Linked DNA regions of Elephas maximus indicus. The protein of the gene in region 1 interacts with the protein of each later gene in a pairwise test. Links are inferred from orthologs where the notes say so. Each region holds a gene or a part of one and is shown on either strand. Other genes may lie near its edges.

Region 1 (7,548 bases):
TTATTTTCTCCTCCAGGACAGAAGTATACAGCCCCCACATCCCTAGTTGCCCCCCCCCCAGGGACCCAGGCATCCTGGCCTCCCCCTGGTTTGTTCCTCTTTTGGAGACCGGAAGCAGAAAGAGCAGATGACTTAACTCTTTCTCAGCTGCTTTCCACCTTCTCCCAAGGAAGGTAGCACTCAATGGTGGCCACCCCCTGGAGAGACCTACGGAACTGGGGGTGGAGAAGGGAAACTAGCAAGCCCCCTATTCCTATAATGTGCCCCCGAACCCAATTCTTCAGGAAGAGAAACTTGACTTTATTCATAGATGAAAATGGGGCTCAGATGGGGGCTAGTGGAGAAGACAGAAGACCCCACATGCAGAATGGGGCTGCCATGGAGAAAACGGCTTACAGTGGAATGCTTACTTTTTGCTCCTATCCCCCAAAACCCTGGAAGCTCCTTCCTCAGAGGCCCAACTGCCCAGCCCTACTGGGGCCTCCACCCTCAACTCCTGGAGTTGGGGGGAAGGAGTGAGACCAAGATAAGGTGAAGGCCAAAGTGAGGAAGCCACAGAGAGGTGGAGAGGCTAGAACTGGACCACAGAGATGAGGGACAAAGGCAACAAATTAAAACCAAAGGGATAGAAAATGCAGAACACAGTGGAGGGGGAACCTGAGAGAAAACAAAGTGCGGTAAGGAGTAGGAATGGACCTCAAAGTGAGGTGGCAGGAAGAGAAAGGAGAGGCTACTGAGCAGATAGAGGATAATGGAGTGAGGACGGAAGGCAGTATGGAGGTGGAGGCAGGAGGCCCAGGATGGAAGTTAGGCCAAGACTGAGATGGATGAGCACTGCCCCCCAGGTGTCTCCTTCACCCTGGGACCTGCTCTTACCTGCCCTGTCTCCTCTGGAGCCACCAACTCCATCCTCAGCTGCAGGGCTCCATCATTCCTTCGGGACAGTGGAGGAGTCCCCGCTGCTGAATTCCTAGGCTCCACTTCCACCCTCAGGGAGGGCAGGGGGGTGGGGGCCCGGGATGTGCCCTCGCTATCCCGGGTCCCAGGCTCTGGGGGGCGCTGCTGGGGCGGGGAGGCCGACAGGGGGGATGTTTCCACCATTGCCTTGCCGGTTACCGCCATCTGGCCCAGCCCTCTGGTTAAGGAGCGGGCCTGAGGTCCGGGTGAGGTGGGGGGCGGGCGGAGCCAGGAGGTGGGGCCCTGAGACAGGCCTGGCTGTGGGGTGGGGGTGCCCAGGCCCAAGCTGGCCACCTCCAACCTGGAATCCAATGACCTGCCTCCAGTGCCCCCCGAGGCCCCTCGAATTCCCTCCAGTAGGCGGCCGAAGTTAGGGGGCTCCAGGTCTCTATCGTAAACATCCACACACGTCCACCGACCTCGGCGATAAGGCTCTCCCAGACCCTGGGGCAGCTTTACCACCCGGAAACGGGAAGCGGGGGCCCCAGGCGGTGGGGAGCCGTTCCGGGGGGTGCCCTTGCCCCCTGGCTCAGGGTTGGGCTCCCCGTTGGGCAGCCGGAGTGGGGGCCTGGTGGGGGCCGGTGGGGTAGGGGAGTCTGCACCCCCCGGGCTCCCTGGGCCCTCATAGTCCGTGGTGACGCTGGTGATTTGGAAACTACTCTTCTTCTTGCCCCCACTCATAGTCCCTGGGACTCAGGACTAGGCCGAGGTGGGCGGGGGCGGCTGGGGCTCCTCGCAGAGGCTCAGGCGCCCCTGGAACAGGGAGGCCACATGGCGGGGACATCAGAGCCCCTGGGGACATCTGGGTCCGACATGGCAGGAGGGTCTTGGGGAGCTGGGGGTGCCTGGTTGGTGAAGGGAGAACAGGGTAGGGAAGGGGGGGTGGAAAGGGCAGGTTTTTCCTGCTGCTGTCGCTATCGAACTCCACAGCTGAGTTTGCAAACTGGAAAGAGAGAGAGAGAGAGAGAGTGAGTGAGGGAGTGTATGTGCCTATATTGTGTGTGAGAGAGAGAAAGCAGTGGGCAGGCCACCTCTGGGGCTTCCTCTCTGGGGAGCATGATGTGGGGCGGGGGGGTGGGGAGGAAGGGGAAACCACCAGAGACCCAGAGACAAAGAGTCTGGCAGAGATGGCAGAGATCAGAGCGCGGAAGGCTGCGATCCCAGAGGGCGCACGGAGCAGGAAGAGGCAGACATGCCCCAAAGTTTGGCACTTCTTGCCTTGGATTACAATTCACAGGGCCCGAAAGTCCCTAAGGCAAGGGCTCCGTGGCCCAGGTGAACAGAGGTGAAGCAGCTCCTCGGCCTGGCCTCAAGACCCCATACCAGCTCCCACATCCAGGGGGCTGGGGCCGCCAAGCATGCCCTGCCCCCCACCCCTACCCCCGCCCCAGCGCCCCGCCCAGCCCAGAGTCCTACCTCTCAGGCCGAGCTGGGGGTCCTGGCTAAGGTGTCAGGCTGTCCTTCCCCTGGTGCCTCCGGCCCCCACAGCGCCGAGAGCAGGCGGCGATCACAGGCTGCCCAGTCCTCTTCGGGGGCCGCACCTCACCCCACAAGGCATCTCCGGGGAAAGTTTGCTCTCCAGAAAAGCAAGGAACCTCTAGGATGGAGCCTAGGCTCGGCCTCTGAAGCCCCAGGCGTCTCCCAACCAATTTGGGAGGGGGCGGCTCGCCCGCCGCTCTTCCAAATGGAAAGCCTCCCCCTGGGGCAGCTGGCGTCGGTGGTCTTGGCGAATGGCTGTCCCAAGTCTCCTCCCGCGTGGCAACGCTGGTTCTGTCTCTGCTCCTCAGCTCCTCTCGCTCTTGGTCTCTGTCTTTCCCCTTCTGGGCTGTTGACAACCCCCACACCAGGAAGTCCTGCCTCCTCGGGCCTGCTGACTGCTTCTCTCCTCCGCCTCCTTTCCCTCTTCCCCCTCCCTTCTTCCCTCCTTCCTGGGGCTCCCGGCCACTTGGCCGGGGGCCAGGCCTGCCACAGCCGCCACGGCTGTTGCAGTTGCTGCTGCTGATCTTGGGGCCCCAAACAGGCTCCCTTAACCCCACACCTGCTGGGCCCGAGCCCAGCTCTTCCTCGGAGGGAGGGGCTGTGGAGGGCGGAGAGAAAGGGGAGGAGTTTGCAGGGAGGCGAGGGATTCCCCTACTTGTAGGCAAGTGCGGGCATTGGCCTACAGACACACATAAGAGTCGGAAGGAATACACCAGGCACTGTATTGGGTGCCTGGTACCCCATAAAAAAAAAAAAAACTCATAAGTGCCTAGTAAAACTTATGATGCTGCTGTAGCTGTTACTAGTTGTAACTTTTTTGGTCTTCACAGTAACTGTATGAGGAAGGTACTATTAATCCCCGCCCCCCCTTGTTTTAAAAAGTATATTAAGGAAAATTGCAAACATGTACAAAAGTAGAGAACAGTATAATGAGCTCCCATCATTCTAGTTTAAGCAATTATCAACTCACAGCTAATTTTGTTTCGTGTCTACCCACCAATATCTTTTGTTGTATTTGGCTCGAGTATCTAAAATCAAATGCCAGACATCATATATCGCCCTTCTTAGATGTGGAAATTAAGACCCAGGAGGTTCAAAAAGGCTGTCAGTGGTAGAGCAGGGACACCACATACTCAGGTGTGTCCTCGGCTAGCCCCCAAATATAAAAACATGCACAGACACACAGATGCAGGTGCTGACTTGCACTTTCTCTCCAATTGCTGGACACACGTGTTTATACACACAGTCACCCACACAGATGCATCCCTGGCTGGTCAGAAGCATAGACTCCCTCCCCTACCGCTAATCCTTCCTACCTCTCTGAGGTGTAAAGAATGGCTTTTATATGGCCTTTCTAAGGGCACGGTTTTGTAAATCCCACAGAACGATTGGCTAGAACTATGCAAACTCAATGATTTATGGTCTACTGAGGTGATTGGCAGCTTGTGGTCCTGATGGGAGGGTCATTTGTTGAAATTGACATAGGCTCATATAAAGAGAGCCCTGGCAGCTGTTGGCTACTAACTGATAGGTCAGAGGTTTGAAGCCACCAGCTACTCCATGGGAGAAAAATGTGGTAGTCTGCTTCTGTGAAGGTTTACAGCCTTGGAAACACTATGGGGCAGTTCTTCTCTGTCCTGTAGGGTTGCTATGATTTGGAATCCACTGGATGGCAGTGGATTTGGTTTCTGGTTTAGGCTTATATAAGGGTCAATCCCACAGAGGTTCAAGAAGAATCTGGAGCACAGTACATCCTTTGAACCAAGGACCCAGGGTCCTTGCACCAAGAACCTCCTAGACCCAGAAGAAAGAACTGTAACACTGAAGACAGTGAGAGACAGGCAGTAGGCTTGCTGGCCCACTGAGCAATAGCTGAGCACCTTTGAGCAGGACGCCTGTCCGGGGAGCCAGAAGAACTGTAAAGCTTACTTGTGCAGGGCAAGAGAGGCCTGAGTATGCCCTGTACAAGGGCTACACACACTTCCCACCCCCCTTGAGCAGTGTGGCAGGAGCCACACAGGCCCTCAGACAGTGCAAGCCTGGGTGGTATGGTGAGAGCCAGTGGCAGAGACTTAGAAGGGCCCAATGGCCATCTGGGGTCTTAAACGCTAGCAAGCAGCCATCTAAGAAGCATCAATTGGTCTCAAGCCACCTGGATCAAAGGAGAATGAAGAACATCAAGGACACAGGTAATTGCGAGCCCAAGAGACAGAAAGCGCCACATGAACCAGAGACTACATCATCCTGAGACCAGAAGAACTAGATGGTGCCTGGCTACAACTGATGACTGCCCTGACAGGGAACACAACAGAGTACCCCTGAGGGAGCAGGAAAGCAGTGGGATGCTGACCCCAATTCTCATAAAAAGACCAGACTTAATGGTATGAGACTGGAAGGACCCCAGTGGTCATGGCCCCCAGAGCTTCTGTTGGCCCAGGACAGGAACCATTCCTGAAGCCAACTCTTCAGACGTGGATTGGACTGGACAATGGGTTGGAGAGGGATGCTGGTGAGGAGTGAGCTTCTTGGATCAGGTGGACACTTGAGACTATGTTGGCATCTCCTGCCTGGAGGGGAGATGAGAGGGTGGAGGGGGTTAGAAGCTGGCGAAATAGACATGAAAAGAGAGAGTGGAGGGAGAGAGCAGGCTGTCTCATTAAAAAAAAAAAAAAATTTTTTTTTTTTTTTTTGTCTCATGAGGGGGAGAGTAATTGGGAGTATGTAGCAAGGTGCATGTAAGTTTTTATGTGAGACTGACTTGATTTGTAAACTTTCACTTAAAGCACAATAAAAATCATTAAAAAAAAGAAGAAGAAGAAGGGCCCAGTGGCAGAGGCTTGGGAGATCCTGTGCAGGGGTCTTCCCACCAGAGAGGTAAGGCCCAGCAGCAGAGCAGAAGCCTCCGGCAGGGCAGTGTGGTGGTGGATGTAAAAACAGCGTCTGACTTGAACCACAGAGCGCCTGCCCAGCGACATAAGAATAAAAAAATGGATATGGGTAATTTGGGGAAGGGCAAGCATTTCCCCTTGGAGATTCTGTTGTTTTCGTTTGCATTCTGGAAACAATGGAGCCCTGATGGTGCAATGGTTAAGAGCTCAGTTGCCAACCAAAAGGATAGCAGTTGGAAACCCTCTGGGGCAGTTTTACTCTGTCCTATAGGGTTGCTATGAGTTGGAATCAATTCCACAGCAATGGATTTAAATGTCTTGTGGGTCTGGCTTGATCACAGATAAACACAGCACCCAAAGAATGGTTGATGCCAGTGGTTCTATGTGTCTCATTCCTAGCAGTCTTACAGCTGCCTGGAATTTTGAGGCACAACCTGTCTGCATGTGCAATGCAAATAGACAATGTATACACTCTCCTACCCCATCCATTAGTATTATGAAGGAGAATCCATACACACTTACTAAGGACCTACTATGTGCTTGGCATGAAGAAATAAACCTCCAACTGTCATCTTCTCTGTTTTTTTTTTTTTTTTAAACCACCCCCAACTAACATTCTGAAAGGGATTATTTTAACAAAAGCAGTTTCTAACGGCTAGGTCTACCTTCACTCCCAGGTTCAAAAGAAAATGGATTCTAATTCATTTCCATCAAAGGGAACTGGTCTCAAGTACATTAAAAATTCCTCACATTTGTCTACTTTGCATAAGTATCTCACTGGATTTTCAAAACAGCCCTGGGAGGAAAAAGGGTGGCTTTTGAGCTCCAGTGTTTCTGCTAAGGAAACTGAGGCTCAGAAACACTGGGTCATTTGCCCAAGGTCCCGGAGCTAGTATTTTATAACTAAGACTAGCACTGGGCTTTCTGACTCCCAGTTCAGGGCTCTTCCCACCATCCCTCTCTTTCCCACATCCCTCCTCCCTCGGCTTCATCTCATGGAAATTTCTAACCACTCTTTCAAACCAAAGAACCCACTGCCAAGCTTGGAGTTGATTCTGACTCATAGTGACCCCATAGGGTTTCCAAGCTGTAAATCTCTGTGGAAAGCACACTGCCACATCTTTCTCCCACCGAGCACCTGGTGGTTTCGAACCATCGACCTTTTTGGTTAGCAGTCAATTACTTTAACTACTGTGCCACCAGGGCTCCTTAACCACTCTTTAGGGTTGAGCAAAAAATAAAATACCACCCTCCTTTATATATTTATTCTTTGTTGATTAAAATGCATCTGGACCCCTGCCTCTCTTCCTTTAGCCATGATAACAACGCCTACAATCCTAAGCCTGGTCATGAGGCCTCCCAAGTGTGAAGTCCTGGAAGCAGCCTTCCATATGCCCCCCCCCCCAAGTCCCCACCTCTCCCCGATCTGGCAACACTCAAAACACAACCCTGCCTGCTCTGCCCTCGGCCCTCCTTTCTTCATCACTGACACTCCACGAATTATTTAAAACTTATTATTATTTTTTTAATCTTTGGACTCTCTGGCTCTGGGCATCAACCCTTTCCCACCCCTCAGGCAGTCAGTTTCTTGGACTCCACTCCATTTCTACAGACCCTAGGACACAGTAGGTCTCTGCTGAGAAGTTTGTTGAATAAATAAATATAAATTCATTCACACTAAAGTGTAAATGGGAAACGACTAATAACACTTTAATGTGTTACCTCTCCTGGGGGCATTTATAATAGCCCCTAAAGTGTGAAGCCCTTTTGTGTGAAGCCCTTTTGCAGCTATTATTCTAATGACCACCCTCTCATCTCAAATTCTATTAACTTAGGCAGCAGATAAGACACCTCAGAAAGGTTGCTCGATTTGCCCAAGGTCACATAGCCAGTTAATGCAAAAACCCGTCTTCTTGCAGTTAATTTACCCTAAGAGCCCTGCGCCAAAGGGCTTTCCGAGGAAGCAATTTCTCAGGGAGCTGACGAGAAAGGTGACTGAAAGGGAGGGGGCCGAAGTCGCGATCCTCAGTGGCCGCCGCCACCGCACCTGGGCCATGGCCGCGGTGGTCGAAGTCAGGATTCGGACCCTGGTGCGCTCAGGTCCTGGCGGAGGGCGCCGGCAGAGTCAAAGGTTATGGGGTGGATGACTTGGATTGCATGGGAGGACGGGTGGAAGACTTTGAGCCTAGGCGAAGAAACAAGGTCCCGGCGCCTGGGAGGCTGC
Region 2 (7,308 bases), about 46 Mb from region 1:
TCATCTTTTCTTAGCCCCCAGCCTGTTGAAGTTTGGTCTGCCCCTTTGAGACTTTTGCCCCTCTAGTTCTCACCTTAGAATTCATTCTCCCAAGAGTGCCGTTACCACCGCCTTACCTCTTCTCGCCTCTTCTGCCAGCGACCACAAGGTGACTCTTCCAAGATCTCAGACTCATCTTCACTTTCTTCTTCCTCCTCTGGGGAGGCAGCTGAAGTTGTGGAGGTCACGGGAGGTGACACTGACGTCAGGCCAGGAGCTGAGGATGAGGATTCTACCTTTGCATCTGAGCCACTGCTGAGTACCGTCTGGGACTCCCCCTCCGACATGCTGGAAGGAACACTCAGTCCTGCACTGGTTGGGCAAGGAGGGAAGGGGAAGGTAGAAGGTATCAAGACAGATCTATAAAAATAATCCTAATAACCTTATTTGAAAGAAAATTAAAAAAAAAAACCTCCTTTGTTTCCAAAATGAGAATTAATGCTGCTTGAATATTCAAACATTAACTATTCTCCTAAGACTAGTCTAGAGAAGAGGAGGAAGTATAACCCCACCTAGTAAGATCCAAGTAAACAGCAAAAATATTCATCCAATAGCCTTTCCTTTCAGAGCACCCAAGTTCAGAACAGATGAGTGTGAACTCTAAAATGTTCTACTGATCTAACACTTAGGCTGACTTTATCCAGCTGAAACTCTTAGTTGATTTACCCAGCTAGAACTAAACTTGGCATTCACTATCCATCCTCCTAGACACAGAACAAGCCTACCAATCCATGGTGAGGCTATCCTTGGTCCAAGTGACTGGCAGAGGTTAGTGACCTCACCCCTAATGACCTTAAAAATGTGAGTGTGGCTAATGAGTACTGGTTAGCAACATTTTTTTTTCATTCATTCATGCAACAAATGTTTATTAAGCACTTATCATGGGCCAAGCACTGGGCTATCTGCTTGAGATATAATAGTGAACAAAATAAATGAGATCCCCCGAACGCATGTAGTCACAAATTCAAAGCAGTTCTAAGACTTTGTTTCCAGTTTCCATTTCATTCACATGGCTTAAACATTCCTAAGTTTCCATGCTTTGGGGCATTGAATCTGACAAATAACTTAAGATACAGCCTTTGTAAAAGAAAGTACTGTATAGTATAAAATTTCTCAGAACATGGCTGAGAAAAAGAACTCTTAGAAAAGAATTCTAAGAAAAAGAATCCTTAAAAGCGAAATGTCACTAACTTCCAGAAAGTCAAAAGACAGTCACTGAATGTTATTCCCTATCTCTAAGAACAAAGGCTGTGAAGGAGTTGGAACCTGTGTGTGCTGGGTCAAGGCAATGCTCTTTAGTATAAAACTGATATTCTGAAAAGTAAATTTGCTCCTCTTAGTTCAGAATGCCAGGAGCCTCCAAGCAACACCAATATTTTGAAAAGTCCACATTTCTTTTTTAGAACTCTGTGATGCCCACTTCTGCCCACCCATACCCCCAACTCACACTATATTCAACCCAAGTCCAGAAATTTCTATTAGATGAAATTCTAGTAAACACCAAGAAGCAACAAGGCAGTACAGAGAAAATCTGGTAAGATACTCTTTCTCCATGTTATTTTCTAAGTCCTGGCTTCCCAAAGAGATTTCACTCAGCCAAGCCGCGAAACCACGCCTTAATAATCTACCAGAGATCATTCTCCTTCTTCCCATGAAAAGTAGCTAAGAAAATGGATAAGAAAGTTTGTATCGGTTAATTTCTAGAGCAACTATAATCAATGAATGCATCTGGTATGTGGAACAGCTAAGAAAAATTTCCAGCTAGATTATAATAGGAAATATCAGTGGAATTCAGGAGCCCAGGTGTCGCAGTGGTTAAAGTGCTGGGCCGCTAACCAAGAGTCCACGCTTCAAACCCACCAGGGCACAAACAACTACTAATCGACAGTAGGGCACCACAAGAGAAGAGGAGCTTTCATCAAAGAGATGCCCTTAAAATGTGCTTGTCCCTTCCCTCCCCAGTCTTTTCCCAGTAGCGGTTAAGAGCTTGGCTGCTAACCAAAAGGTTGGCAGTTCGAATCCACCAACCGCTCCTTGGAAACCCTATGGGGCAGCTCTACTTGGTTCTCCAGGGTCACTAAGAGTCGGAATCCACTCAACTGCAACGGGTTTGTTTTTTTGTTAGTGTTTGGCCTGTGACAGGCACTCGAATGAATGTCTGTTGAATTTACGCCCATAGGGGAATCTCCTCGCTGCCTCCAGTCACCTCAAGATGCACAGTATGTTCACTTCTGAGCAGTGTAGGTCGTCCCGCTAAGTTTTTCTCAGAGACTTTCATTTACTGAACTGTCGCCCCTCTGTGTTTCAACTCCTCAGCAACAGCTCGCAGGCCCGGGCCTCTCCTGAGCTGACCAAAAAGGTCCGAGACCCGCAAAACTGTCCAGTCAGAAATAAAGCAAGCTCTAGAGAAGAAGAGGCCCTCCGAATTTCGCATTCCAACAGGTCGCCCTGCCCGGTGTCTGGAACAGCGCGGCCCGCAGGCCCCAAAGTGCGCTGCGGCCACCTCATCAAAGGCCAGCGGGCTGGCGGGCGGCGCCGTCAGGGCGGAGGCCACGCCCCCGCGCAGCCAGCGCGCCGGCCGCAGCGCTTCCGCAGGCCGCCGGGCCCGCACCGCCCGCCCGCCCCGCCCCCGCCCGTCGGCCCCGCCCTCGTCAGCCAGAGTTCGAAGCGAACGTCAGGGCCCTCCCGACCCGCGCGGGCGGAATTCCGGGCCGCCTCCACTCCGAGGAGGTTGAGGAGGGCCAGGCAGGGACTGTGGGGCAGAGGCGGCCCCCGGGCTCAGGCGGGCCGGCCCGGGCTTCCGAGTGAGCAAGGCCGCCTTCAGGCACCCGCCTGCCGGGGTCCAACGCCCTGGGGCTCGGAAGCCGATCCTTTCGTCCCCTTGCCGACCTCCCACCCGATTCCCTCGTTCCCTTCTGCGCTCACCTCCGGACACCGCTCCCCGCAGCCTGCGCTTCAGCTCCAGCTCGGGTTCCGGGGCCCCGGATCAGAGAGACTCCCTCACAGCTGCGCTCCACAGCGCAACCGAACTACGGGCCCCGCCCTCGCGGCGTCCTGACCAACAGATGGGCGGTGCCGCACTGCCTTAGGTTTCCATTGGACAAGACGGCTGAGTGGGCGGTGCCCAGTTTAGAGGGTCAGTGGGAGGGAGTCTTCAACCGGGCCTCTTCCCCTTGAGCCGGTCTGGCGGGGGCCGCTCGGGGAGTTCGGCCTTTTCCATTCCACCTGGGGACCTCTTCTCTGTCCACCCCTGTACCCAGTCCAGGAACCCCCGGTGATTCTGCTAGACAAAGATCTCCCCTGTCTTCTTGAAGGCGCCATGACAGTTCTAATCCGACCAAAAGACAAAAGGAGCGAAAGTCTGAGAGGAGCGTCCACCCACTTTATTTAGGGATGAGGCAGTGGCCAGGACACCAATTCCTCAGAAAGCTTTAGGAAAAAAAAAAAAATCACTACGCTTTGTGATTGCATAGTACTGTTATTTGCCAAAACTTTGCAAGAGCATTTCATAAATGTTATTTGATGATTTTCAGAAGAACTCATTGAAATTTTATCATTGATAGTCGACAAATACAAAAATAAAAACTGAATAAAAGGCACTAAACTATCCAAAGTTAGGTTGATGACAGCCAAAACCAGAATCTGAAATAAGATTCACCGAAGAAGACCTCATTGAGAAGATATTTGGAGAACTTAGATTGGGTGAGGTGTAAAAAATGGATTTTGGGTGAACCCATTGATCCCAGAAAAGTATATGCAGAGCCTAAAGGATGGAAGTTCAATTTGCCATTAGACATATACACCGGAGGGGAGAAGATAAGCCAATCACCAGAATTTGGGAATGTCATAATCACCAAATTTCACTGTCCTAAAGAGAATCTAATCCTACTTCAGAGGAGCCCTGGTGGCTCAAATAGTTAAGCACTAGCCTGCTAACTAAAAGGTTGGCAGTTGGAACCCGCCCAGTGGTTCCAAAGGAGAAACACCTGGTCATCTTTACCTAGCGGCTAGTAGGAGAAACGCCTGGCTCTGGCAATCTGTTTCCGTCAAGATCAAAACCAAAAGGGGTAGTTCCAATCTGTCACATGGGGTCACTATGAGTCGTTATTGACTCGATGGCACCTAACAACAATCCTACTTCATCGAGAGGATAATCCTTTCCCAACCTGTGGGAAATATATTGCTCACTTACATAGTCTGCCTCTGAGGTTTCTTGGGAAACTTTTCTCGCAGTGTGTGCTGCTGCAAGGTGAGGACCTATATAATTGCTTGAAATGGAAGAAATGAGTGTGTGCCACAAATTACTCCTTTTACAGGGTATTGTATGAAGTGCTGAATCAATACTTTTGGTAGGTAAAAGATGGATTTTGATTTTAAAAAATTATTTGGAACACATATGTCCCTCTGGACACTGAGGGTAGGATTGGTGGGGTGAGGCAATAAAAAATTCATACTGCTGAAAAATTCAGACACACTCAATGATTCAGCATGCATTCCATTTAAAATTCAAAGCAGAAAATAATTAGGCCTTGAAAGGGATAACTTGCAGAAGCCATCTCATTTTCTTATCTCTTCACCTCAAAGTATTTATTTCTAAAACCAATCTTTCACCCTTCCTTAATTCTTTTATCTTTGAAAGAGAGGGCTCAAACACACTTTTTAGAAATCTGATGAAAGATATGGGCTGCCTTTTGGATTTTTTTTTTTTTTTTTTTAATGCACTTGCCCACTAAGTTTAGCATATAATTTCAGGGAGTTGAGATTAAGAATCTTTGTTCTAATCTCAAAGGAAAAGATGTACCTACCTCTTCCCAGCTTAACTTCTTCTCCCTGTGGGTTCTAACACAATTGAAATGCCTGGCCCATGGTAGGTATTTATTAAATGTCAGTTGATGTAATCATTATAGTTTCCCATTCTCTTCCATCTGGGACCTTAGAATTATCAACCTTTCCCTTTGAACTACCTTCTTCTTTCCAATATGCACAGAGGACCCTTTGGCATACTCATGCTTTCATCTTATTTTTAAACTTTCATTCACATTTAACATGCTCAGATAGAAGATGGCGGAATAGCCAGATGCTTCCTGCGTTCCATCTTACAACAAAGACCCGAAAAATCAAGTGAAACAATTATGACAAGCTAGGAGCCCTGAACATCAAAGGCAAGGTTAGAAAATGGACCAAGTGGCAGGTGGAGAGTGAGACCATTCAGAAGCAGACAGGAGTTGCCGGACCTGAATGTCTGAGATCCCTCAGGCACCATTCCTGGAAGTGGCTGTGGCGGGCTGGTTGTAGTGTTCTGCCGCAGTTTCCTCAGGGAGAAATAGCCAGCCGCACAGCCTACTCACACCTCTGGAACCAGAGAAAAATGGTGCTCTCGGCAAAATCTAAGTACTTGCGTATATTTTACAGCACCCCCCACCCCCAAGCTGGCTTCAGTGGCTGTTGATTTCCCTGGGCCTGAGATAGGCCCATTTGAACGCCCTGAGCCATGCTCCTGGACTTGGAGAAGGAATAAATTCACAACAGGGGGAAAAGATAATTTGCCAGCTCCACTAACCTGGGGAGCTCAGGACAGAAGCAGCTCATGTCCAAGCATAAATGGTCTGTGGACATTGAATACCTTTCCCCCCTGGATGGACCTGTGTGGGCCTATTCCAGAAGAATAGGCCCTTACTGGCAGATTGTGACTGTTTAACCTGTGCAGTGGAGAGGTGGATGTTTGTTATTTGACATGGCTTTGCCTATTAAACAGGGTCCTCACCTACAAACATCAGGGGCCTAAGGACTGGTGGCTCCTCTCAAGTCACCCAGCCACCCATGACAGGGGTCCATGGATAACTGGTACCTCCTAGTCCTTACAACCAAAAGCATTGGGTGCCCATGGTCCATCTGCAGAACCCACCCACCTGCACGCTCTAGGGAAGAGGGACATGCTCTCCTCAGAGACACTCGGGACACTTCTCAGCCCCCTGCCTTGTTCAGAGCATGACCCCCTGCTGCAACCAGATACTGGTACCTACACCGAACACCCCTGCCCCTCTAAGACTATAGGACAGAGCCTGTACCACACACTTGATGACCAGCTACCTGGACACCTGAGCTGAATTCACACAAGAAAAGTGAATGGACTCATAATCTCATATACCTGATAACAGCTCTAGCCATCTGGTGACAGGATGTCAGAGGTCCAAAGGCGAAAACAGTCAAGCTAGCTCACTCAAGCAAGCCATTTGGGCATAACAAAACAAAACAAAGCAAGAAACTAGGATACAGTAAGCAAACATAAAATAAACTAAAACAATAACTTATAGATGGCTTGGAGACAACAGTCAATATCAAACCACATAAAGAAACACACCATGATCACGTCAACAAGCTCTCAAAACAGAGAATCAAAGGATCTTCTGGATAAAGATGCCTTCCTGGAATTACCAGATGCAGAATTCAAAAGATTAATATACGGAACTATTCAAGACATAAGGAAGGAGATCAGGCAATACACAGAACAAGCCAAGGAACACACAGATAAAACAGTTGAAGAAATTAAAAAGGTTCTTCAAGAACATAATGAAAAATTTAATAAACTGCAAGAATCCATAGAGAGACACCAATTGGAAATTCAGAAGATTAACAATAAAATTACAAAATTAGACAACTCGATAGAAAGGCAGAGGAGCAGAATCAAGCAAGCAGAAGGCAGAATTGGGGACCTTGAAGGTAAAGGACTTGGCACCAATATACTTGAAGGAAAATCAGATAAAAGAATTTTAAAAAATGAAAAAAACATAAGAATAATGTGGGACTCTATCAAGAGAAATAACCTACAAGTGATTGGAGTACCAGAACAGGGAGGGATAACAGAAAATCAGAGAGAGTTGTTGAAGATTTGTTGGCAGAAAACTTCCCTGATATCGTGAAAGATGAGAAGATATCTATCCAAGATGCTCATCGAACTCCACATAATGTAGATTTTAAAAGAAAGTCACCAAGACATTAAAATCAAATTTGCCAAAACCAAAGATAGAGAATTTTAAGAGCAGCTAGGGATAAGCGAAAAGTCACCTGCAAAAGGACAGTCAATAAGAATAAGCTCGGACTACTCGGCAGAAACCATGCAGGCGAGAAGGCAATGGGACGACTTATATAAAGTTTTGAAGGAAAAAAACTGCCAGCCAACAATTATATATCCAACAAAATTGTCTCTCAAATATGAAGGTGAAATGAGGACATTTCCAGATAAACAGAAATTTAGGGATTTTGTAAAAA

Evidence for each region. The genes of interacting proteins can lie anywhere in the genome.
Region 2: the proteins of TSC22D4 (region 1) and NRBP1 interact in binary tests that used the Homo sapiens proteins (3 or more experiments, as listed by UniProt). The link is inferred for Elephas maximus indicus from reciprocal best matches to the Homo sapiens genes TSC22D4 and NRBP1.

The regions. Positions count from the first base shown.
Region 1 is NC_064830.1:91,887,576-91,895,123, forward strand, and holds the start of TSC22D4 (TSC22 domain family protein 4), read right to left. Parts: upstream 3,042-7,548; 5' UTR 2,374-3,041; intron 1,901-2,373; 5' UTR 1,639-1,900; coding exon 877-1,638; intron 1-876.
Region 2 is NC_064830.1:45,926,741-45,934,048, reverse strand, and holds the start of NRBP1 (nuclear receptor-binding protein), read right to left. Parts: upstream 3,082-7,308; 5' UTR 2,965-3,081; intron 352-2,964; exon of another isoform or gene 347-351; 5' UTR 327-346; coding exon 117-326; intron 1-116. UniProt on the Homo sapiens protein: Required for embryonic development. Plays a role in intestinal epithelial cell fate and proliferation, thereby involved in the architectural development of the intestine potentially via the regulation of Wnt-responsive genes.